Linked DNA regions of Rhinolophus ferrumequinum. The protein of the gene in region 1 interacts with the protein of each later gene in a biochemical or structural test. Links are inferred from orthologs where the notes say so. Each region holds a gene or a part of one and is shown on either strand. Other genes may lie near its edges.

Evidence for each region.
Region 2: the proteins of BCL2L2 (region 1) and BAD interact in a biophysical measurement, tested with the Homo sapiens proteins (4 studies listed by BioGRID and IntAct, with this or other methods). The link is inferred for Rhinolophus ferrumequinum from reciprocal best matches to the Homo sapiens genes BCL2L2 and BAD.
Region 3: the proteins of BCL2L2 (region 1) and BIK interact in a biophysical measurement, tested with the Homo sapiens proteins (2 studies listed by BioGRID and IntAct, with this or other methods). The link is inferred for Rhinolophus ferrumequinum from reciprocal best matches to the Homo sapiens genes BCL2L2 and BIK.

Annotation. Positions count from the first base shown.
Region 1 is NC_046289.1:73,759,168-73,767,084, forward strand, and holds the start of BCL2L2 (bcl-2-like protein 2), read left to right. Parts: upstream 1-4,916; 5' UTR 4,917-5,121; intron 5,122-5,219; coding exon of another isoform or gene 5,220-5,636; exon of another isoform or gene 5,637-7,179; intron 7,180-7,917. Other genes in the region: PPP1R3E (protein phosphatase 1 regulatory subunit 3E), read right to left, coding at 4,494-4,916, 5,220-5,636. UniProt on the Homo sapiens protein: Promotes cell survival. Blocks dexamethasone-induced apoptosis. Mediates survival of postmitotic Sertoli cells by suppressing death-promoting activity of BAX.
Region 2 is NC_046294.1:7,137,533-7,145,150, reverse strand, and holds the start of BAD (bcl2-associated agonist of cell death), read right to left. Parts: upstream 3,013-7,618; 5' UTR 2,905-3,012; exon of another isoform or gene 2,778-2,904; intron 2,638-2,777; 5' UTR 2,630-2,637; coding exon 2,443-2,629; intron 1-2,442. Other genes in the region: integral membrane protein GPR137, read left to right, coding at 4,412-4,620, 4,757-5,135, 5,219-5,268, 5,982-6,207, 6,326-6,475, 6,730-6,858, 6,977-7,095, 7,407-7,566. UniProt on the Homo sapiens protein: Promotes cell death. Successfully competes for the binding to Bcl-X(L), Bcl-2 and Bcl-W, thereby affecting the level of heterodimerization of these proteins with BAX. Can reverse the death repressor activity of Bcl-X(L), but not that of Bcl-2.
Region 3 is NC_046293.1:5,334,068-5,341,884, reverse strand, and holds the start of BIK (bcl-2-interacting killer), read left to right. Parts: upstream 1-4,805; 5' UTR 4,806-4,900; intron 4,901-7,817.

The DNA of each region.
Region 1 (7,917 bases):
TAATGTAACTTAGATGGCCCCCTTAAGGAAGAACCCCCACCAACGGGGAAACTAGGGGCTTCTACCCAAGCTCTTCCCTTTAACTACACCAGCAACTGGTGCTGGGTGCCAGGGAACTAAATCGCTGGGCCCTGGTAACTTTCCCTACCATTACCCCAAATGGTGGTGGGATCTTGTGGAGTGTCTTATACCAGGGCTGCCCAACTCCTCCATGTTTCCTTCCCACTCAACGTTTGCGTATCCAGAGGACTCCAGTAACAGGGAATAGGACCTTTAAGAAATGAAATGACCAAGAAATGGGGGGTATGAGGGAAGAACCTTGTCGCTGGGTCTTTTGCCACCCTTAGCCCAAAACAAACAATACTTCAATATCCGATGATATACATTCTTTTCATATTTCAACTTTATTTCAAACATGAGGTGTTTTATCCAGAAGGGAGAGCAGGTACATAAGGCAGCTGAAGTGAGGCACAGTACTAGCGGGTCTGGGGCCCAGTGAACAGGGCTGCACTATGAAGGGGGTGAGGAAGCTCTGGGAGGGCCTGAGTTCTCCAGGTCTGCTATTCAATGGGTGGATTATTCAGTGTTTTCAGCAACTTCATTTTTCTTTAGCAATATCACCAAAGAAGTGCCACGGCTGGGGACACACAAAAAACTACCAGTCCCTTTTGTTTTTCCTTATGCCTAGATGGGGAAGGGAATGGAAACTAGTAGCAAAAATGAAACATTTCTGATGTTATCCTTTGCCATGAAAAATGGGGGGATCTAACTGTGCAAAGCCCTATTTTGTACCCTGGAAATGGGATGTGGTCAGGAGGCCTAGGTTAGCCCCATCTCAAGCTGCACTGAAAAATCATCTGACCCTGTTGGGAGTCACTTCTCATCTTTGGATCTGTGTCCTTACTCGTGGAGGATCCAGTGATCTCTAAAGACAAGCCTTCCCAGGTCTGATTCTATGACATGTGGATTACAAGAATCCAGAGGACCTCCAGAGAAACACAGGAGTTAGTAGCAAGGAATGTGGGAGTTAGATTGGAAAGTTGAGGGGTTAAGGGTTATGCTGAAGAGAAATGATGAACTACATTCATAACGAGAAACAAAGGAAATGAAGGAAGGCTATCAGACCTCTGAGGTCTGGATGAGAGGAAGGGCAACAGTGCTCCTGCTGTGTTGCTTCAAGGACCCAAGCCCGGCCACGGTCATGGTTTCTCATGGCACTTCCGACTCCACAGCTCACGTTATACCCTAAATTGCTCCTGTTCATCGAGTCATCAGCCTTTAGAGGCAAGTCCCTACCACAATGCCTAACACAACACATCCCTGCAGATTCCCCCAAATTCCTATTGTTTACCTTATCAGATTAGGCTGTCAGCTCACCCCAAGGCCCTGGAGCAGCACTATATGAGAACCAGAAGACTTATGTGTTGGGTCTGTAAAGCTGAGAACGGGGGGCATGAGTGAGCCACAGTATTTCTTACAGAGAAAGAGCTCAGGGAACAATGGATTATCCTTGGTTCCCTGCTTCCAACCAGCTTGCATTTCTCCACTCAGTAATGCCAGGACTCTCAGAGACGGCCAGAGCACAGAGCATCCAGTCCTAGTTGGGGAGCTTTCTAGGAGAAAGTTTAGGCAATTGGCCTGTTCAAGGCTAGTGGTGGGTATGGGAAGGGGGTGGCACACCAATAGGTTGGAGGGTTGACTAAGGCCAGGGGAGAATCCCATTGTATGGAAAGGCTATAGTTCAAATGGGTTCCAAGTTCTCTAGCAGGCAGGCGAGTTAGTCCCTTGCTGATTCTTCAGATCTGGGACACTGGCATAGGAGACAGCAAGCTCCAAAAGGAGCAGATGAAGTTTGGGACCCTCAGTGCATTGCCTTCTCCAAGCCACTTGGGGAGACTGGGAGGATGGGAAGACAGAGCACTATTATAAACTGTGTTATTTTCCTAATAAGATGATATATGGCAAGGTTTTTAATGGAAAAAATATGTAACATCATGTTTATGCACTGGAGCTCTGGAGATTTTTTGGGTTCACAATCCTAGCTCTGCCTGTACTAGCTATATGATCTTGAACAAACTACTGAGTTTTTCTGAGCTGTTCCCTCTTCTCTAAAACAGGGATGATATTACTCAACTCCTGGGGTTATTTTGAAGATTATAATGCAAGCAAGATACCAGATTTAGTGGGTAAGTAAATGTGAGCTATTATGATTGTTAATACAACATAACAGTAATGCACACACATTAAGCAAGATTACTACACCCTGAGCCTTGACCCAGTCTCCCTCTCCATCATCCTCCCTTGGGCTCTTCACTGATAACTAAGTGCATTGCTTGGTGGCTTCCAATACAGTTTCATTCTTCACTCTGCTGGAACTTTGACCCGAAGGTGATCCATAAGATGTATGAAATTGTTTTCACCAGGTAAGAATGATGTTTAAATGGCCCTTTGTTTGAGGAATGACTCAGAGTTCCTCTTTTTCAGGCATCTTTCTTCAAAGGATTAAGGCTTTAGGTAGGATGGGCATGGTAACAAACCCCATACTCTATTCTGAATGCTTGTACAGGTACACCTGATGCACTCTCTCACTTACTGATAAGGAAGAAGGGGATCCAGACATTTTTCTTTGAGAAATCAGTAACAGATATAAAGGGGTGGGGAGCTGGTTACCTGGGAGCTCCTTGTTCATTTGCATCAGGAACTGCTTCTTTTCCCTCTTCTCCCTTCTAGAAGACTGTTAAGGAGGAGCCTGAAGGAGGAAGGTGGATCTACCATGGTCTTGGAGAAAAGCAAGTAGGTTCTCCACCCCTTCTGGAGGGACAAGGAATAGCACAGATCAACAAAAATGAGAAGGAAGCAATTGGAAATAGAGAAAATGAAGGTAAGTACTCTATTATGCTAAAAGAAAAATGGAAGTGAAAAGAGAGGGACAAGAGAAAAGCAGAGCTTAGGAATAGGGTAAGAGGGGGGGGGAAAACCCCAACAACTAGCAGAGGTTAACCAGGAGAGACATATGGCATGAATGTGTAGGGGTAAGAGTCCAGCTTTCCCATTTCACTTGCTCAGGATATGGAGCACACTGCCATCTTCTGGTGCCATTTAATTTTCAAGTTGTTTTGATTCTTGAAGTGCTTTCTATTTCTTATACACGTAATCCCATATCCTCACAAGTTCCCCAACATTATTTCCTTTCATCTTTGGGACTCCCAATCATCATTTCCCCCAAGAGACCTTCCAAAAGCTGTCTCAGAGCATCCAGGCTGGAAGTCTGTGAGGGCCAGAGCAAAAAGCAAGAGGCAGAGGATGAGCTGTGGTTTGAAAGAAGCCTTAATACCCAGAAGCTGCAGGCTGGTTTGGGGAGGCTTCCTGGCCTTGGAACATTTGTGTCAAAAACTGGAGGACCCATCCTCAGCCCCAACCAAACACTCGGGGTGCTGTGCATTCTGAACTGTAGCACTCCAACTGTAGGGTGGAGAACGTGGCTTCTAATCTACACTCTGCTACTCACAGATCATAAAATGTCAAAGCAAGAAAGGGCCAAAAGAGATCACCTAAACCAAATCCAATTTACCCAGGAGGAAACGGGGGCCCAGGAAGGTGAAGGAACTTGCCCAAAATTATACAGCTAGTCAGTGACTTCCTAGTCTTGAGCAGAATCAGAATAGTGATTCTTGTGATTCACAGTCCGTTGATAAATACAGTCCATAAAGTGCTTAGAGGTCATTAGAAGGCACCCAGAACAATAAGGCTGGCATTTTTCTGGAAGCCCCTGAGTGTAGCAACCCATTAGCCGCCGCGTTATTTGGCTACAAGCACAAGTCTGGAGTTGGTTTTGTCTTCATTTACACACCCCCAGGGCTGCAAAGAGGCTGGAGGAGGGAGCTCTGACTACTATCTCCCATCACTCCCCATCCAGTTCTCCAATACCCAAGCCAGGGACTGTCAGGGGTGACAAGGGAATCCTGTCATAATGCCAGGGATTGGGGAGCAATGGCCAGTTTCTGGGATTTCAGCAAGGCAACTATAGCTGAGTTAAAGCTAGGATGGACAGGGTTGGGGGACCTGAGATGGCAAAGGTAGATAAGGGAAAGAGCCAGCAATCTAAATGACTTCAACTGAGGGGGCTGCTACTTCACGCAACACACCAGCTCAGCCCCAGAGGGCTGCCCTAACCTTCCACTGCCTAGGCCCGCCGAACTTTCTCCCAGTGCCTGCTCACGGAAGAGAACGTCACCATACTCCTTAGTTTTCGCTTTTTTCGAATCCTCCTAGCGCCCTTTCGGGTCTCCTTTCTCCGGTACCTTGGGTTCCGTCTACTCACATCTAATCGGTGTTTTCCACCCCTATCTCCCCGACCTTCGCTGATTCCACCCACTCCCCAAACCCCTTTGATGTCTCCCGCACTTGACTCTCTCGGACAGCAGCCCGCCAAATCTTTGGGCACCCCTAGCCCCCAGGTGCCTTTGGTTTTTTCACCGTCGGCCGCAGGCGTCTCAGATAAAGTGAATCCAGCCCTGAGGCTCCGGGGTTCCAATACTGCCCGGGTGCTCGGGCCCACGTAGAGCATAGTCACGGCCGCCGTTGTTGTCCCAGAACTCGTGGCCTGTCACGCGGTAGCGCAAGGCGAAAAGCAGGGCGCCCCCAACGGGCGGCGCGGGCAGGCGAAAGGCGAAGCGGTCCGCGCGTGGAGGGGGCGGAGCCGGGCCGGCGTAGGCCGCGGGCGCCTCGCGTTGGCTCCGCCACCCGTCGGCGCTCCAGCGCACGCTCACGCGCTTCTCGTAGGCCAGGTCCAGCACGCGCGCGCTCCCGGCCACGCCCAGCGGGCCCGCCTCGGCGCGTTCCAGGCAGATACGCTGCGCCTGCAAGCGGGCGGCGAAGCCGGGCTCGCTGGCCGGCTCCAGGGCGGCGCGCGCCTCCTGGGGACGAAAGAGGGAGAGGGAGCACCGAGCCCTGGCGAAGGGAGGGCAGAGAGGGGCGGGGTCATAGCGAGTAATTGGACCAATCCGACGCCGACCCCGAAGTCCGGGCCCTCAGAGTGCGGCCAAGCTGCGAGAGTGGCCGATAGCCCCTCGCCAATGGGAGCCCCAAAAGGGACGTGCAAGAGCAATCCCGGGGGTGGAGGTGGATATGGGTATTCCTTGATTAATCCACTCCCCCATGCCCGCCGCGGTCGAAATGGGGAGGTCCAGGGAGAGGGCGTGCGTGCACCTGCCGCCTACCTGGAGGCCGCGGGCGCGGGGCTGGCACGGCGCGAAGTGGCGGAGGGCGTCCCTCTGCAGCTGGATCTGCACGTGGCGGGGCACCCGGGGCAGCTCTCCAGGGCGGAAGCGGCGCACGGCGGCCAGCTCCAGCCCCAACGCGTCGGCGAAACGCACTCTTTTACGGGTATCGGGGCTGCGGCTGCGAGGCGCCCGGGCACCGCCGCCTCCGGCGGGTGCGGAGCGAGCCCGGCGGCCCCGACTCGGAATGTGAGCGCGCGATCTGGCCCCGAGGCGCGTCCCGCCCTCGCCTGGCTCCTCCTCCGGCTCCTCCTCGAGGCTGGGCCGCAGGCTGCGGTAGTAGGCGCGCTCAGTCAGCGCGGCGATGAAACTCAGGTTGCGGGGGATGTCGGTGCGGGGGGGCCGCTCTCGAGACATGGCATCCCCCGCCCCGGCAGGGCCCGCCCGCAGCGCCGCCTCTGTGACCTCGCTCCGAATGGCCCACTCGCCTGCGTCCACGCAGAAGCCGCCGGCCCGCTTCAACCGCCCCTCGCAGTTGCGTACTCTCCTTGCTTTCACTTCCAGGATCCTCCACCTCCCGTAGTTCTGCTTTGCCTTGGTGACTACCTTTCCTTCCCTCTTGCCGTCAGCTTCCAGGGTCTTAGACGATCACCTCCTGTCTCCTGCTAGCTGTCTGCTCTGAGCGTGCGCTCAGCAGCACACATCCTCGGGTCTCGCGGCCGTCGCGGCCCAGGCCCCCGCCCACAGCCCTCTGACAGGTGGCTCCCATCTGTCTGCGTTGCTGCACTAGGGGGCGGGGACTCCACCCTTTCCGTCCTGGGTGAGACCCTCTGCCCTTTTAAATTTTTTTTAACGACCTCAACCTTTTTGGCATGGGATGAGTTAATGAAGGATGTAAAGAGTAACATTTCCTTTTCTTGCAGGGGAAGGTTCAAAGCGCTCAGTGTGTGACTTTCTCTGCAGGGCTCACTGTTGTCTAAACTCTAGTTTACAGGTTTTGGTGAGGGGGGGCGTTGCAAAGAAGGGAAGGTCATGAAAACTAGGCAGAATCCCAAATAAAAACAGACGCGGCCCACAAGGGTGGGTGGCCCATTGGAAAAAGTTCTGAACTAAAAGTCGTGGAAAGACAAAGCTTCTGGTCTCACTTCTGGTGCTAGTTAGCGGTGTAATCTTGAGCAAGGCACAACTTCTCTGTAACCTCAGTTTTCTCATCTGTAAAAAAATGGGTTCGAATTCTGATCTCTAACCTGACTAAGCCGTTTGAGGACAGAGCATGTGTCTGATAGTTCATAACAGTAGTAGGCCTTTAAATTATCGAATGAATGAACACACCACACTCTTGGAGCTGGGACTATAGGGTTCTAGTTCCAGTGGGAGGTTCCAAGAAGGGCACAGGGCCGGTGTTTTTCTTCATTTTTTCCTACTTTAGTGAAAAGAGCATGTGAAGTTTTGTTTATTTTTTTTTTCTACTTCCCACTGATCTTATATAGCACTTATAGTTGTAATAGTTTTACAAACATTAACTCATACCGTGCAGCCATCATAGGAGCAGGGAGTCTTATTATGGCTATTTTTACAGATGAGAAAATTGATGGAGAGAGGGACTAAGACTCTTGCCCAAGGTCACATAAGATAATAATTAGGGAGCTGGGATTAGAACCTCAGCAGTCCACCTCTGGAGTCCACTCTCTTATTTACTTGTTTATGTAAGATTAAAACAGTTAATGGTAATAGTTAACATTTTCAGAGTATTGAAGTGGGGAGTCTTAGAATAGAAATGGAATCTCTAAATTTAAAACAGCAGGAGAGTTTAACTGTAAATAGTGACTAAGTTGGAAATAAACAGGGAGACGTATACTACCTTATTATTGTAGAATTCATTCCTGTTTGCATTTTAACTTTAGTATTAACTATAACAATACTGTCAAGCCAGGACTGATTTTTAAAGTGATTCAATTTTATTTTTTTATTTAATAGGTATGTGTATAACCCATGGAATATTCTTTTTATATCTTAGGGTATAAAATAATGTTACACTACTTTGTTTTACAGTCAAGCAGTTTAAAACTGTCTTCCTTGCTCTGGTAAAATATGTCATTAACGAAATAGATAAGGTTCAAGGTTAGCCTATGTGGCGTGAAGTTTTCTGGTAAAAACTCTGTTGCCTTGTCTACTGTTGAGCTGCCATTCCTTGGCTCTGTGGTGTTGGTTTGAGAAGATCCTTGAGGTACACAGCTTTGGACCTGATGTAATTTGTGTTGGTCCAGCACCTTGTTCTCCTGGCAGCTCAGACTGACATTGAACCTTTATTCCAAATCAGTCTTTGTTTCTTAAACAGCCACTGCAGTTATCTTCAAACATCTGACTGGGCCTGCTTAATAACTGCCAGAGGCATTGACTGATTCATTCAGTCAACATTTACTGAAGTTCTGTTAGGACTTGAGGACATAAAAGTGAATAGACTTCAGTTCCTGCTCTCACAGAGCTTATAAATAAATGGCGGGCAGACAGAAATATATTTGGACCCTGAGACTTAAAAATATTTTTATTTCAATTAAATGTCTTAGAAGAAATATTGCAAATGAAGAACTAGACTAGGTTATTCTCAAAAGAAGGCAGCAACCTTGCTGGTAGAAGCAGGAATGATCAGCCTAAGAGCAAAGAAGAAATGAGGATGGTTGAAAGGATACAGTCATAA
Region 2 (7,618 bases), on another chromosome or scaffold:
ACTCAAGCTCCCTACCACTGTCTCCTTTGCCATTCCTGTCTTCATTCGTTCATAGGACAGAAGTGGTCCTTTCCTACCTCCTAGCCTTTCCTTTCCTTGACATCCGTCTCCACCCCTCCCCTCACTCTCATCCCATGGCAAGAACTTAGACCCCGTCACCATCAATAATTCCATCACAAGCTTCCCACAGGCTCACCACCACCTCCTCCCTGTCCGCTCACTCCCTTGGTACCCCAACTCTAATGATGCGAGAACTCCAGGGTTGGCTCCTCTCCTCACCACCCAGCCAGCTTACACCCACACCAACTATTCCCTCCCTTGCACACAGCCTCAAGGCCCTGCCTCTCTCGCTGGGCTGAGATGAACATAGCTCTGGTGAACATCAACCCCCTGCCAGCTCCCACCGGCACCTGAGCGGCCATTGTGGCTGGAGCCATGTACCAGCTTGGTTTACATTCACGGCCATGAAACCCAGCGGCCCCCTTGACATTGCCTGGCACACCCAGCTCCACGCTCCAGGATGACTCCAAACCTGCTCCTCTCTCCCCTCAACCCCCACCCCTTGCCTACCCTCACTTTTGGGTGGCTCCCTGTGCCTCACAGAACACTATATCAGTGACTGACAACTCCCACATGCAGATATCCTGCCTGGACCCTTCCCTTCTAGAAATCGCCAGCTGGATGCTCAAAAGACACCTCTAACTGGACCTGGCCCACACTGGGCTCCTGATCTTACCTGTCCCCATCTCAGTTAAGAGCAACTCCATCCTTCTAGATGCCCCGGCCAGATTCCTCTTGCAGCCATCCTTGACTCCTCTCTTTCCCTGGAACTCTACATCCAATCTGCCAGCAAATCCTGCCAGCTCTACCTTCAAAATAAACCCGGAGTCCAGCTGCTTACCACCTGCACTGTCACCACCCTCGCACAAGCCACTGTCCTCCCTTGGGACTCTTGAGGCAGACTCCCCTGCAGTCCCAGCACTGCTTTTGCCCATTGCATACCAGTCTCAACACAAGCCCTGGTGATTCTCTTGATGCCCAAATCAGATCACTCCACTCTGCTCAAAGCCCTCCCATGTTTTCAAAGGAAGAGCCAAAGCCACTAAGGCCCTGTTCAGCTCCCCCTCCCCCTCCATTAACTCCAGCATCTCCAGCTCCCGCCGCCACCCCTGTCCCCTTGGGCCACAGTGGCCTCAGGACCTTTGCATTAGCCTTTCCCTTGTCAGGATCTCTCCCCACGGATATCTGAGTGGTTCCCGCCTCATCCCCTTCAGCCTGTGGTCAAATGTTGCTTCTCACCAAGGCTGACCCTGGCCACCTCCATTCACATTGCTCCCCTGGCCCCCAGTACATCAGATCCAGAGAAAGTAGACTTTCTCACACTGCTGCCCAGTGTGTGCCATCTTCTAGCACGTTATATCATTTACTCGTTTGTTTCTTTATGGCCCGTCTCTCCCCACCGACTGGAATATAGGCACCATAAGGGCAAGGACTTTTATCTCTTCTGTTCACTGATGTGCCCCTGGCAGCTGGGACAGCTGGGGCACAGATTAAGCACTTGATATAGAGCAGGAACAGCCAGGTGAGGGTGGAAAGCTGTTGTGAGCAGAAAAACAGCAAGTACAAAGATCTGGAAGTTAAAGTCTGGAGTTTAGTCTGACAGAGTGTGTGTGAATGGGCCAAGAGGAGGCCTTACTAAGCCTTCTTGGTCCTAAAAATAGGGAGGAAGTCATTTGGGCTTCAGCAGGCAAGGGACGTGGTTTTTGTTTTCAGAAGATCTCTGAGGTGGTTCCTGTGCCAAGGCCTGTGCTGGGCCCTGGGGAGTGGAGACTACTGAGAAATGGCCACTGTCCTCCAGTGCCCATCCGTCTGTCTGGGCGCTGGGCCCCCTTCTGTGGGTGTGGAAGACAGCCTATGCTTCCTCACCGCCACACAGACTCTTGGTAGGGCTATCTGCCTCTTGAGGTCAGCTGCCCCTGGCAACTGGCAAGGATAGCCCTGGAGTGGGCATGAGAACAGGGTGGATTGAAAACAGACCTGGGGGCTGGCAGCCTCTGGCAGGTACCTCAGAGACTTCAGCCCTGCCTCCTACCAAAGGAACCGCTAAACAAGTGTGACCTTAGGCAAGTCACTTCCCTTTTCTGGCTCATTGCCTGCCTTTCAGTGATTTGTTCTGGTCCTACACTAACAACTACATTCTTTGAGTATTTTGTAAGTGCCAACACTGTAATTAAGTACTTCTTATATGTTCTGCTAATCATCCTAACAGCCCGACAATGGTGGTGACTAATTGCTCTGTTTTACAGAAGAGGAAACTAAGGCGCAGAGAGGTTAGGGACTCACTCAAAGCTACCCAGTGAGTATGGATACAGCTGAGATGCTGAGGAGCTCCCGGGCTGGGGGCAAAAGTGGACAGGCAGGTTGTTGTGGGGCGGTGCCTACCTCCATGGTGGCTGCTGCTGGCTGGCTGTCCCTGTTGGTGACCAGCTTCCCCCAGGAGGCCCGGGGCCGTACACAGGTGCTTGCCTGGGCCTGGGGGCTGGTCTCCTGTGGGGCTGGGGCCCAGGCCCCTATCTGCAGGGCTGGAGTCTTCCTGCTCACTCTGCTCAAACTCTGGGATCTGGAACATGCTCTGGGCTGTGGGGGCAAGATGGCAGGTAGTTAGGGCACAACTGGAACAAACGGTGGCCAGCGGCGGCCGGGGAGCAGGCGTCCCTGGTTCCCTCTCCCACCTTAGAACCCCAGGTCCGCCCTGCCTCCCAGGCCCCCATCTGTACACTGAGTCTGGCTGGGCAGGGAGCTCAGCCTGTCCACCCAGGACTTAAATCTCCTTTCGGAGCCCTGGTGCTGTGGAGCCCCACGACCCGGCCCGACCCGCCGGTGGTGACCGCAAGCCAGTCTCACCCCAAGCCCGATCTCGAGGCCCCGGACCGGGGCCTGCGCCTCCCTCCACAGCACTGGGGGAGCCCTGCCCTAGTTGCCTGGGCAACGGGAACTGTCATCGACCCAGCCCAATCAGCTACTGAAATGTCACTAGGGCTGGCTAGGAGGCGGAGCCACTCTCGGCCTGGGCCCCGCCCCTGCCTGAGGACCTGCTCCCCTCCCAACGCCTTCCTCCTGAGTTCCTTCGCCTCCGGATGCTCTTCTACCGGCTTCCTCGTGCCTGGGGCGTGTGTGGGAGCAGATAAGGGATTCTCTGGGGTCGCCAGAGAATTTGGAACCTGGGGACTAGCTTCTGCTGACAAGTCCTTCAGCCCCTCTGGACCTTAGTTTCCACCCCTGTAAAGTGGAGATAATGACACCTCCCTCGGGAGCCAGTGAACTTTGTAAACCGAGTGATTACAGTTGGTGAAAGCACTCTGCAAAGCCGTAACTGAAGCTCAGCCGTTGGATGCATTGTTGTTGTTGTTGTCACTGCTCCGTCTAGACTGGGTGACTGAATCCCTCCTCCCCACTGTGGAAACCTCGCAGTGCCCGCATCAGGGGCACCACTGCCCGCGCCATCTGAGGAACACTCGAGATGAGAGAGGGAGCCTCCTCTCTGGCAGGATGACTGTCCCGGCTCAGGAGAAGGGATAGGGACCCCTGTGAAGGTGGCCGTAGGACTCGCGGGGGCTTCGCGCCTGGCAGGCGGCCCGCCAGGTGAGCGGGAACTACGGGCTTTGCGGGTTCAGGGCCAGAGGGCGGGGCCCGGGGGCCATCTTGGCTGTGGGCGGAAGTTTCCTTCAGAGACCGGGCGAGGGGAAGTCATTGCGGCCCTCCGCCTGACGGCGCGATCTCGGTTTGGGAATGGGGAAGAAACGCGTAGGAATTGGCGGCCCCGCAAATAAGCAAAGGCCGGTGGGCCCACGGGCAGCCCCGCAAACAAGCAAGGGCCGCTGGCCCCGGGAACGGCCTATCCCGGCGCCGGCCGGATCTACCGCCGCCCCGGCTCCTCGACCGCGCGCCGCCTCTTGTAACCCTTGGCGCCCGCTAGCGGCGTAGCTCGCGCCCATTCTCGAACGACTGCACGCCGGGCGCGGCGCAGGGTTCAGAGCCGGGGGTTGGATCCTGCGCAATTTGCGTAGTGAACGGTATCCGCGCAGGCGCAGGAGGGGGCGGAGCCGGGGAGCCGGAGTCCCGGGTCCCAGCGGCCGGATCCGGCTCCCCCAGGGGCGGTCTAAGGGCTTGGTGTCGACCTCCTCCCGACTCCCGCGGTTGGGGAGTGGACGCAGTGGGGGGTGGGTTGGGGGCAGCGTCCGGAGTCCCGAAGACAGAAGGCAGAGACCCCCCTATCCTATCCGGATTATTGGAGGAGAGAGAGCCCCCCCCAGTTTGAGGAAGGGGAGAGCTGGGTGTTGAACGCCCCCTGCGGCGGCCGCTGTCCTGAGCTACCGGCATCGGCCGGCTCTCCCCCTCCTGCCAGGACTACATGAGTGAGAGGCCAAGGACCTCTGTCCTTCAGCCTCTGCACCCCTCAGCTCCTGGCTCAAGACTGACCCAGGGAGGGGACACTCCCCACCTTCCCCCTCAGCCCTGGAGAAGAGACTGCCTTTCCACTCTGCTGAGTGAGGGGCCCAGGGCCAAGTGCCAGGCTGCCTCTGCCCCACCACAAGGGCGAACACTCGCAACCTCTTGCTGGTGAGAGCCTGGCCCGCCACAACTTCTTTCCTCCTGAGCTCCCCCATTGCTGTCTCTGCACCCTGCAACTCCCACCGCCACCCCCTATTTATTTTTATTTCCTGGCCTCCTGCCAGCCCTTCCATCTCTGTCTCAGGATTCAGGCCGCCCTCCCTGACATGGAGAGTAACCTGTCTGGCCTGGTGCCTGCTGCTGGGCTGGTGCCTGCGCTGCCACCGGCAGTGACCCTGGGGCTGACTGCGGCCTATACGATTCTGTATGCCCTGCTCTTCTTCTCCGTCTATGCCCAGCTCTGGCTGGTACTCCTGTATGGGCACAAGCGACTCAGCTATCAGACGGTGTTTCTGGCACTCTGTCTGCTCTGGGCTGCCTTGCGTACCACCCTCTTTTCCTTCTACTTCCGAGATACCCCTCGAGCCAATCGCCTGGGGCCCCTGCCCTTTTGGCTTCTCTACTGCTGCCCTGTCTGCCTGCAGTTCTTCACACTGACGCTTATGAATCTCTACTTTGCCCAGGTAACTGTGGTAATGAGTGGGGGTGGGCTGTAGGGTGGCAAGCCCCAAGGACCGAAAGGAATGATGGGCATCTCTGCTCCCAGGTGGTGTTCAAGGCCAAGGCGAAGCGTCGGCCAGAGATGAGCCGAGGCTTGTAAGTACTTGGGACACTGGTGGCTCAGTCTCCAGGCCAGGGGCAGGGGACAGCCTGGTGTCCATTCCTTCCCCCGTAGCAGGGCTAAAGCAAGGACAACCCAGGGAATGTTTGTGAAAGAACTTGGAAAAGTGAAGCACCTGTCACAGATGGCTCAGCAGAGACATTGCATATGTGAAGGGCAACAATAATAGAAACTGGGAGGGGAATGGGTACCAGTGTCATCCATAATGGAGGCAGAGCTGGAGGCCCTAGCCTTTGAAAGCTCCAAAGCCAAAGCAATTCTGGGTGACCTGGGATGGCAATACTCCTGTCATTTGTATAATATCTTACAGTTTATTAAGAACTTTCACAAACAGCTTTAATTTTTACAATTTATGTGTGAGGCTATTATTATCCCCATTTGAGAGATGAAGAAACCGAGGCCCATAAAGGTAAAGCAATATGTTCAAGGTCATAGACCTGGCTGGAGGCAGAGCCAGGGCTTAAACTCAGATTTCTGACTCCCATCTGCTGCTCCTTCCACTGTACCACAGGTATCAGTCCCCTTCTTACTTCCTTGGGCCTCAGTTTCCCCATCTATAAAACTGAAGGAGTAGGGTTCAGATTGGATGCCCTGAGATTCTGGTTGGCAGTGGGTCTCCTGGGGGAGGTTGGGTGGTGGGTGAGCATCAAGGGTGGTAGGCTGGCGCTGACTGTGCTGTGGGCTGCAGGCTGGCCGTTCGAGGGGCCTTCGTGGGGGCCTCGCTGCTCTTTCTGCTGGTGAATGTGCTGTGTGCTGTGCTGTCCCGCCAGCGCCGGGCACAGCCCTGGGCCCTCCTGCTGGTTCGAGTCCTAGTGAGTGACTCCCTCTTTGTTATCTGCGCGCTCTCTCTTGCCGCCTGCCTCTGCCTTGTCGCCCGGCGGGCTCCTTCCACCAGCATCTACCTGGAGGCCAAGGTAGGGTCACAAGCCCTGATGCCTGGTGTCCTTTGGGGTCTTTGGACATTGATCTTCAGGGTAGAGGGGAAGCTGGAGCCTCCCCTCCCTGAGGGTCCCCTGTTGTCATCTGTGCCAGGGGACCAGTGTGTGCCAGGCTGCTGCAATGGGTGGTGCCATGGTCCTACTCTATGCCAGTCGAGCCTGCTACAACCTGGCAGCCCTGGCCTTGGCCCCTCGGAGCCGACTGGATGCCTTCGATTATGACTGGTACAACGTCTCTGACCAGGTGGGTGTTGGGCACATCTGCTGCCTCCTTACCGTGTTTCCCCAAAAACAAGCGCTCGCATGATTTTTAAGGATGACATCCCCTGACCATAAGCCCCAATGCGTCTTTTGGAGCAAAAATTAATATAAGACCCAGTCTTATTTTCGGGGAAACACGGTAGTAGCCATGGCTCCTGGCCCCCAGCTGGCCTGGGCCCTGGCCAGGTGCCCCGCCGGCTCAGTTGCAGATTGCCACAAGCCTCTGATTTCCCACAGGCGGACCTGGTGAATGACCTGGGGAACAAAGGCTACCTGGTGTTTGGCCTGATCCTCTTTGTGTGGGAGCTGCTACCCACTACACTGCTGGTGGGCTTCTTCCGGGTGCACCGGCCTCCACAGGACCTGGTGAGGGCCAGCGGAGAGGGGTGGCACTGGGACTCCCTGGGCTGGGGCCTGGAGTTGGTGGGTTATGGGAGGTCAGTGGTGGATAGGAGAGAATATCAATGGCAGTTTCCTTCCCTAGAGCACCAGCCGCATCCTCAATGGGCAGGTCTTTGGCTCCCGTTCCTACTTCTTCGACCGGGCTGGGCACTGCGAGGACGAGGGCTGCTCCTGGGAGCATAGCCGGGGCGAGAGCACCAGGTAGGAGCCCGGACCCCATCTCAGGATCCATGGGCTCCCGGCTTGCTCCATGGAGCCATGGGGACCTAGAGCCAGGTCTTGTCACCCAGCTCCCAGCTCCGGCCGTGGTCTTTGTTTCCATCTGTCCTGGGGGGGCCTCTCTGGTTTCCACCTCTCGCCCTGAGGATGCAGTTTGTCATAGTCTGCAGGGCTAAAGCCCTGGGTCTTGGAGGTCTGGATCACTGGGCTCCGTTCTAAGCCTCTCTCCCCCAACTCTTAGGAATATGGCCCTGGTCACTGCCTTGGGACTGACCCTATTTCTCTGCCTATAGCATGTCTGGTAGCCTAGGCTCCAGCAACTGGTACGGCGCCATCGGGCGGGAGCCAGGCTGGTGCGGGGGCAGCCAGACGCGGACCACTCCTCTGCTCTTCTCCCAGGTGCTGGGACCAAGCAGCCACCACCACAGCCTCTACTCTACCCCACAGACGTGATCTTCCTCCACCTCTCCCCAGAACACCCAGACCCCAGTCCCTCCCACCCCAG
Region 3 (7,817 bases), on another chromosome or scaffold:
GGACACAGTGACCCCCAACTCCTACATGACCTCGGACAGGAATGATGATTGTCAGGCACTGCCTGCAACAACCGTTTGGGTTGGGTGTTGCCCTCCCCATTTCCCAGAAAGTAAGGGAAACTGAGGCTCCGATGTGTTAGGCCGTGCTGGAGCTCACATAGCTGAGAAGGGAAGTCCTTACCCCTCATCCCCCAGCATCCATGCCCCTCTACCCTGCAGCTCAGCTGGCCTCTCCAGACCTCAGTCTCCTTGCCTGTACAATGGGAATGTAATAAGGCTTCCCAACAGTTCTGCCCACAGAGGGCCCCACTGACTGTGGAGTCATATGGGCCGGATGTGCAGACCACAAAGTGAAGGAGGTGCTGCTAGCCAGCTGCAGGGGGAGAGGGCAGCCTGGGCACTTCTGCCAGTTGCACGGAGGTTGGGATGCTCCATTCAAGAGCCCTGGGCACTCTCAGAGACTCTGGGCATCATTTCCCCTCCAGTCTGCAGCACAGGGCTTCCAGATTCCAATTCCTGAAGATCTAGTCCCTTTCCTGCTCAAAGCCCTTCCATGGCTCCCCGGTACCCACAGGACAGTAGGGCCAAACCCACCTTTCTATACCTGTTCTCCAAGGTGCCCTCAAGTACTTCCTCTTCCAGGAAGCCTTTCCGGATATGTTTGCGGCCTCTATAGGAGCTGGCTCTTAGTTTTCCCTCTCCTGAGGCACTTTCTGTCTGAGACCCACTATGTCCTCGTGTCCCAATTTTGTCTCACTGGGGGCTAGGCATTTGCCATTGTCTTTGGCTCAGCTCTAGCCTGGGACAACACCAAACAGTTTTCTTCCTCTTCTTTAAAAATAGGAAGCGATGTTTTCCTGATTACCAAGTTAATACACGTCTATACGGAAAGTCTGGAAAATACAGAAAAACGCGAGGCAGAAACCGGAGCCACCTATCATCCTTACGCTCAGAGATGACCAACCACTATTCCCATTTTGCAGTGCTACACGCCCTTCCAGACTTTTAGATGTGGATGTGTTAAAAAATGGGGGATGGTACTGGACACACTGATTTGCAAGGTGTGTTATTTCATTTAACAGAGGATGCATCTCTCAGATACAGTTTCTTTTGTACAAATGTTAAACTCTTCACCAGTTCCTACAGGCTCCTTCAATAACAGCCTCTGGTTTTATTGACCACCTATTGTGTGCCAGGCACCACGCTGAGGACTGCATAGACTTTCATCCTGACAGCAGCCCTGGGACGTGGGGAATTTCACAGGGGATGGGACTAAGGCAGCCAGGATTCAAAACTCAAGGCTGAGTGACTCCTGGCGTCCTGGCTCTCACCGACCAGGCTGCAGGTTCCCTTCCCGGAAAAGGCTTATACCCCAACCACAATTTCGCTTCACTTTAGGGGGTTCACAGATTTCCTGAAGCCCAGCTACAGACCTCCAAGTGAGATGGGCCAGAGAGACCTGGGTTGGAGCCCCAGGCCTTCAATCTCTTGTTTGTGTGGCCTGGGACCCGCTAGGATCGCTCTCCGAGGCCCAGTTTCCTCATCTGTGCAATGGGGAGACCTACCCTGCAGAGGGCCAGCAGGGGCATGGAATCACCCAGGCAACACTAGGCTCTGGATGGCCTTCGTCCTGCGAAGGTACCCCTATGAGGCGTCCACCAGGGGGGTTGCAGGTGAAATGGCCATTAGGCTGCTCTAGCTCCCGGTAGGGAGCTCAGGCCCAACTGTGGAGAGAACTGCAAAGCCCTTTGATGGGTCCCTCCTGATATTACAAAGCCTCTCTCAAAGCTGGAGGATTTTCCAGATAAGGTGTCCCAAAGCTGGGGACAAAAGTCTGGGATGGCAAGTGGAAAAACAGGGTCATTGAAAACCTGTGCTGGCGCCTGGCTTCCCCAGGTGGGCCCTGGATGCTGAGGCCAGCACTTGGCAAACATGCTTGGCCAGCCACTGCTGCTCCCCCATCCCCCAACCCCGCCCTGGACTTGGGTAGGGACTGTTCTCCATCCTGGAAGTCCCGCGTCCTCACCTCTCTCAAGTCTTTGTACTAAGGTCTACATCCTCAAGAGGCTCCCCTGACCACCCTGGCTGAAAGCTTCCCTGCCCCACTCTCCACTCATCACCTGGCTTTACTCTCCCTCGAGTGCGGGCTCTGTGCCAAGCTGCCCAGAGTCCCATCTCCACTGTCTCTCCCACTAGGATGTGGGCTTCTGACTAGAAAGCGTCATCTCTAGATTCCCATCATCTATCACGCTACCTGATATTTTGTAGGTGCCAATCAATACCTGTTATATGAATGACAAAAAAAAAAAGTTGTATTAAGGACAAAACTGAACCCTAAATTGGTGCCAGAGGGCCTGCTGAGCAGCACGTCCCTAAACCACAGAAAACTGGTAATGGCCTCAACAGGAGAGGTTTGGCTGGCAGGATGGAGGCCCCCAGGGAAAAAAGGGGCTGCCCCACTGGGTCATGGTCTTCTCTTAGAGAGCTGGGTCCACACCCAGCCCGATAGCCCTGGGACACACCAGCAAATCCCAATGGAGAATGGGAAACTGAGGCCCAGGACGGAGGGTGGAAAGGGCACTGCAGGAGGTGTAGGGAGACCCGGGCTTGAATCATCCTCTGCTTCCCACAGGCTAGGTGCCAAGTGGCATTCCTTTTACAGAGCCTCAGTTTCCTCATCTGTAAAATGGGGCCATAAGTTCTCTCTTACCTGTGCACAGACCCTTTGTGGGTGCTCTGTAGTCTGTAACATGAGATGGCCAGCCCCATGGGGCAGTTGTAAGGATTAGAGGAGACAGAAAGTGCTTAGCCCTGAGATAAGGGGACCTGAACAAGTGGTAGGGCTGCCATCATTATTGTTACTGCTATTATCATGCACAATCTAACCCAGGGCCTGTTTTGGATGATAAGAAGCCAGGGTCTTTACAGGCCCAATTCTTATTCAAAAGGTGTTTTCCTCCTCCCGTCCATTTGATCAGCATATTATCTTGGGACCTTGCAAGGCAAATAGTCTTACCCACCCCTGCCTTGAGCTTTTCCATCCCCCACCTTTCTCCAAACTATTCCCCTTCCTCCATCAGTTTTGCTGTTTACTGAACACCGGCTGTGTGCCTGGTACTGAGACCCCTCTGGAGGCATTTTCACACACATCAGGTCTTTTTGTCTCATGAGACCCTGTGTCATTGCTTTCCCTCCAAGTCTGTTTTTTCATTTGCAGAACGCATTTGGAGAGCAGCCTCTATTTTGCAGAGGTCTCCCTCCTGCCTGTAAGGCACCCTGCAGCTATTAGCCAGGGTCAAGACATCCATGCTTTGTGGGGCTCAAGATGATGTGATTTGGGAGGCCTTAAAGAAAGGATTATAACATCAGAAGAGGCCAGAGGCGCCCCAACTGGAGGGAGGGGCCTTAAAACTTAAATTATTCTGCATAGTTTACTAAACATTTTAGGATTATTTCCTCCAGAGGCCCCCTACAGCCCAGCTGGGGAATGGGGGTTGGGAGTGTTGTGTGTGTGTGTAGGGGGGAGGTCAGTGCTGTCAACCCATTTCACAGATGAGAACACTAAGGGAAAAGTAGGTAACACTGTCTTCACTTCACAGGTGGGAAGAAGGGGTGAGGGGGGCTCCACCAGGTAGCAAATGGCAGAACTAGGAGGAGGGGAGCCCCTCTTGACCCTGCTGCTCCCCTGCCCTCAGAGGCTGCAGGACTGAGGTAAACAAGCCTTGTTGTTGTGTTCCTGGGACAATGGTCACTTTGTAATTCCAGCCTGCCTCCCTCCACCTCCGACACAGACCTTACCCCACCCCTCCCTAACCAGCCCCAGGGCTAGGTCCCACCCCACCTGGAAACTTTCTGATTTCACCTCCTCCTCTGGGAGCTTTGGGGGCCTCACTGCCCACCCCACCCCCGCGTTTCCCATGAGCCCAGGAGCCCCCAAGGAGGGCATCCGGCCCCTCTACTGGAGGCAGGGAAATGGGGCTGCGATGAGTTGGTGCGGCTGGAAGGAGGCAGTGGGGGAGGAGTGGGGCGGGAAGACCCCAGGTTTGGGTAGGATGCTGTGATGCTGTTTCTAACAAAGCTTGAGTCTCAGTTTTCACAGTTGTGAAATAGACTTAAAACAGACTTAAAAATACCTAACTCCCAGGGAAGGGGAACGGGGAAGGGGGAATGGCAGTTATTATTTAATGGGTATCGGGTTTATTTTACAAGATGGAAAGTTCTGGAGAGGATGGTGATGGTTGTAAACATTATGAATGTGTTTAATGCCACTGAACAGTACACTTAAAAATGGTTAAGATGGTAAATCTTATGTGTATTTTTATCACAATAAAAAAATAAAAAACACGAAACCAAACCTCACTCCTGAGGCTGCCAGCACAAAGAGTAGGACTCCTGGAGCGCTTGAATTCACGCTGCTACTTACTAAGTAATTTTCTCCTCTTTGAGTCTCCGTTTCCCCATCGGTAAAACAGGCGTGAAAAAAGCACCAAGCCCTAGGGCTGCTTTGAAGAGGAAAGGAGGTAGGTAACCCACGTAAAGATCCTGGGTTATATACCCAAATTCGGCCAGTGGATTCAACCACCTGCATACCTCGGAGCCTACTTGTGTGCAGCCCGAGCTTGGAAAGCAGTGCACAGGGCAAAACAAACTTTGCAAGTAGTAGGCGGCAGAGAGAAGTAAACAAGTAAACAGATCACACTTGTAGCAGTTGTGTTGCTACTCGTACCTACCTGGGTCTTGGATTCAGCGCGCTGGGACTGGAGAGGCGGCCCCGGGGGCGGGCAGGGGCGGGGCTGGCGGTTTATACGGTTGCACGCGGACTGCCAGCTGCACACAGGACGCCTCCTTGCTGCAGTTCTCCCGGCACCGCCGCCAACAGCATCGCTACCCCCGACGCGAGGTGAGTACAAGGCCTGCCTCCCCTGCGGGGACCTTAACCCTGCTGCCGCCCGCCCCCTCCGCCCAGCCCGAGCCCGGCAGGTAAGCGCCCAGGCTGCCATCCTGGGTGCAGAGCGGCTGAAAGGTTGGGGACCCGTGACCAGGTTTTTCTGTCCAGGGCAGCTGTCGGGTGTGTCACTTGCGGACGACGTCTCAAAACCCTGGCTCCGAAACGTCCCCTTTCTGGCGGGGGCTCCAGCCGCGGCCGCGCGGGCCTCAGTCTCAGCATCAGTGCGATGGGCGGCCTCTCCGCGCCCCGCCCGGAGGGCCGGATGCCCGGTTGCCCTGCTCCTTTCTCCTGCGCGGCCTCCTGGGGCCGGGCTCCCTTGCCCTCCCGGGCCGTGCACCGGGCCAGAGCGCGGGACTGGCAGCCTCGGGCTGCGACGACCCAGCCCGGTGTCCACTAAAAAAGAGAAGATGGCGTCGGGCACTGTCCCCGCCGGGACCCGAGTCGCCGCGTACGTGCGAAGGGCTGGAGACAGGCTTGACTACGGGGCGCGGGGGGAAGTCCGGAGCAGGAACTTGCGCGACCCGGGCGCGGCCGCCACCCCACCTGCCCGCGACCTGCACAGGTGCGCCTTTTACAGGTGCGCCTGCGGGTGGCCGCGCACGGACCGGCCGGGGCGCTGCGGCCTGGTCTCGTGAACAGCGAGCCGGCCGGCCGGCGCTCGGCTCTTGGGGGGCCGCAGGGCGCGTTCCATCCGGTGACCGGCAGGGCCTGCCCCACTCGGCCCGAGTGAGCCCCTGTGGAGCTCGGGGCTGGGACTTGTGTGACGCGCTTAGGCCTCCTGGCTGCAAATCACTTTGTAAACCGTTAATTGTTACTGTAATTTTTGCTACAATGTGCCACCCCGGGCGGTGGGACGTTGTTGTTTTTGCTGCTGCTGCTGCTGCTGCTGTAACATTTTTCTTTGGAGCACCTGCTGCGGCTGGGCCCGCGAAAGGGTTTTCCTGGTCAGCTTCGCTCCACCTTCCCAGGAAGGGAGGTGCTCAGTCTTATCCTTCCCCCATTAGGAAGGGGATAGACGATTGAGTTCTATGCTGGCTGCACTCCCAGGACGGAACCTGATTTTACGGATGGAGAAACTGTGACTTAAGTTCCAGGAAGCAATTTAAATGCTGTCTAGCATGTAAAGCCCAGAGCTGTGTTCTGGAAGCCATGCCAAAACCCTCCTCCATTCAGCCACTTTTCACCTGTGTTGTCCTACACGGGTTACTCCACTTCTGAGCCTCAGTTTGCTCATTCTGTAAAATGGGTCCATGAGGTTTCCTAGCAGGTGTAGAGAACACCTACCCAAGTATTGGCTGTTTTTGACTGGAGTTAACACTTTAAACTTATTTCTACTTATTTTGGGCATGCCTTAGGAACAAATCCTTAGGAGTGGCACATTTTTGTACTTATTGGTGCTGTTTTTGCACATCTTCCCTAACTGGTCTGTCTGAGGCAGTGGCTGGGCCTGGGTCCCAATGTTGGCATCTGGCTGTTGTGTGGTGCTCTTCACCACTGTCTTACTCTTCTCCACTCTTCTCCTCTCTTTTCACTCCAGGATTTGGGGATTTCCCCATTTTTTGAACCTCAAGGTCACAGGGTTGTCACTGATTGATTTAGCTGTGGCTTTTCCAGCCTTGCCAACATTAGGTTGTACAAGTTTATTTTTGCTTGTTTTGGGTTTTAAACGTCTGAAATGTTTGGGGAGACTGCCTTTCAAGCTCTGGACTTTCAGCCAGTGCCTCAGAATGTCCTCCTGGGTAGGGAGAACACATTTAATCAACCTTGTAAGTTGGCCACCAGTTGATTTTTTTTTTTCTTTTGGGTGGGAACTATCTTAGCAGGGATATGTATTTCTCCAAGCACCAGGGATCCTGTGACACTTTCCATGGGATGGTGTGAGGCCTAAAATAAATGGAGTGATACGCTCAACATGGTCCCTGTGGATGTCACACGAATCATCCTTCTTTGTTAGCTCAGCTCAGTTGCTGCCTCCTCTGAGAAGTCTGCCCTGACTCTCTCATCTGCAGGTGCAGCCCTCCCTCTCCTCCCACCAGTTCCTTTGTCCTAGGACGTTATTTTATTATCTGGAGGACACCAAAGACAGTGTGAAATGGCCCGTTTGGGCTCACTTGGTGTGAGTTACATCCAGGAGAACAGGAGCCCCAAATGTCATAGCCAAGAGTCGGGGCACACTGGGGAGAGAAGCGGGATAGAAGGTTGTAAGCATGTTAACGTTGTTAGTTTCAGGTGGTTAGTAGGTGTAAAAGCTGGGTTTGCTGAGCTGCAAAGAAACCAGAGAGCACTGTTAGCACATTTTTTTTCACTTCTGATTGTCTCTCTCTAATAAACGGAAGGGTTTTGGGGAAAGGTTCCATTCAGCAGTGTCGTGAAGCTGACCTCAAAGGCATTTTCAATCCTCTCCCTGGAAAGCATCCTGTTTGTAGTGAAGCTATTAAGTTTGTAGACAGTTAATGGCTTCTTGCTTCCCCTGCCTTGGACATAGTGGCTCCCACAAGAGTCGGCTGTTTTTCTCTCTGCCCAGAACAATTCCAAGAGGTTTTAAGGAAGTTCGCGGCATGCTCGGGTTTTGTTGTTGGCGGCCACCAGGAAGCCTGCAGCGGTCCAAAGTGGACATGTGCAGCCACCCCCGCGTCCCTTTGTCCTACTGTGGTTGGTTGGGGCCGGGCCCTGGGAGAAGTACTGAACCCAAGCAGATAAGGCTCGTTGGGCCCCAGGCAGGAGCGAGGCCAGGCCTGGTGTCCATGGCACTGGGCGGGCTCAGGGAGGGCAGCTGCTTTTCCTAGTGTCAATATTAGGATGTGACAACACAAAACATCCACCAGGCCTCGCTGGGCACTGCGTGGTAAACCTGTTTTTCTGGAGGTGG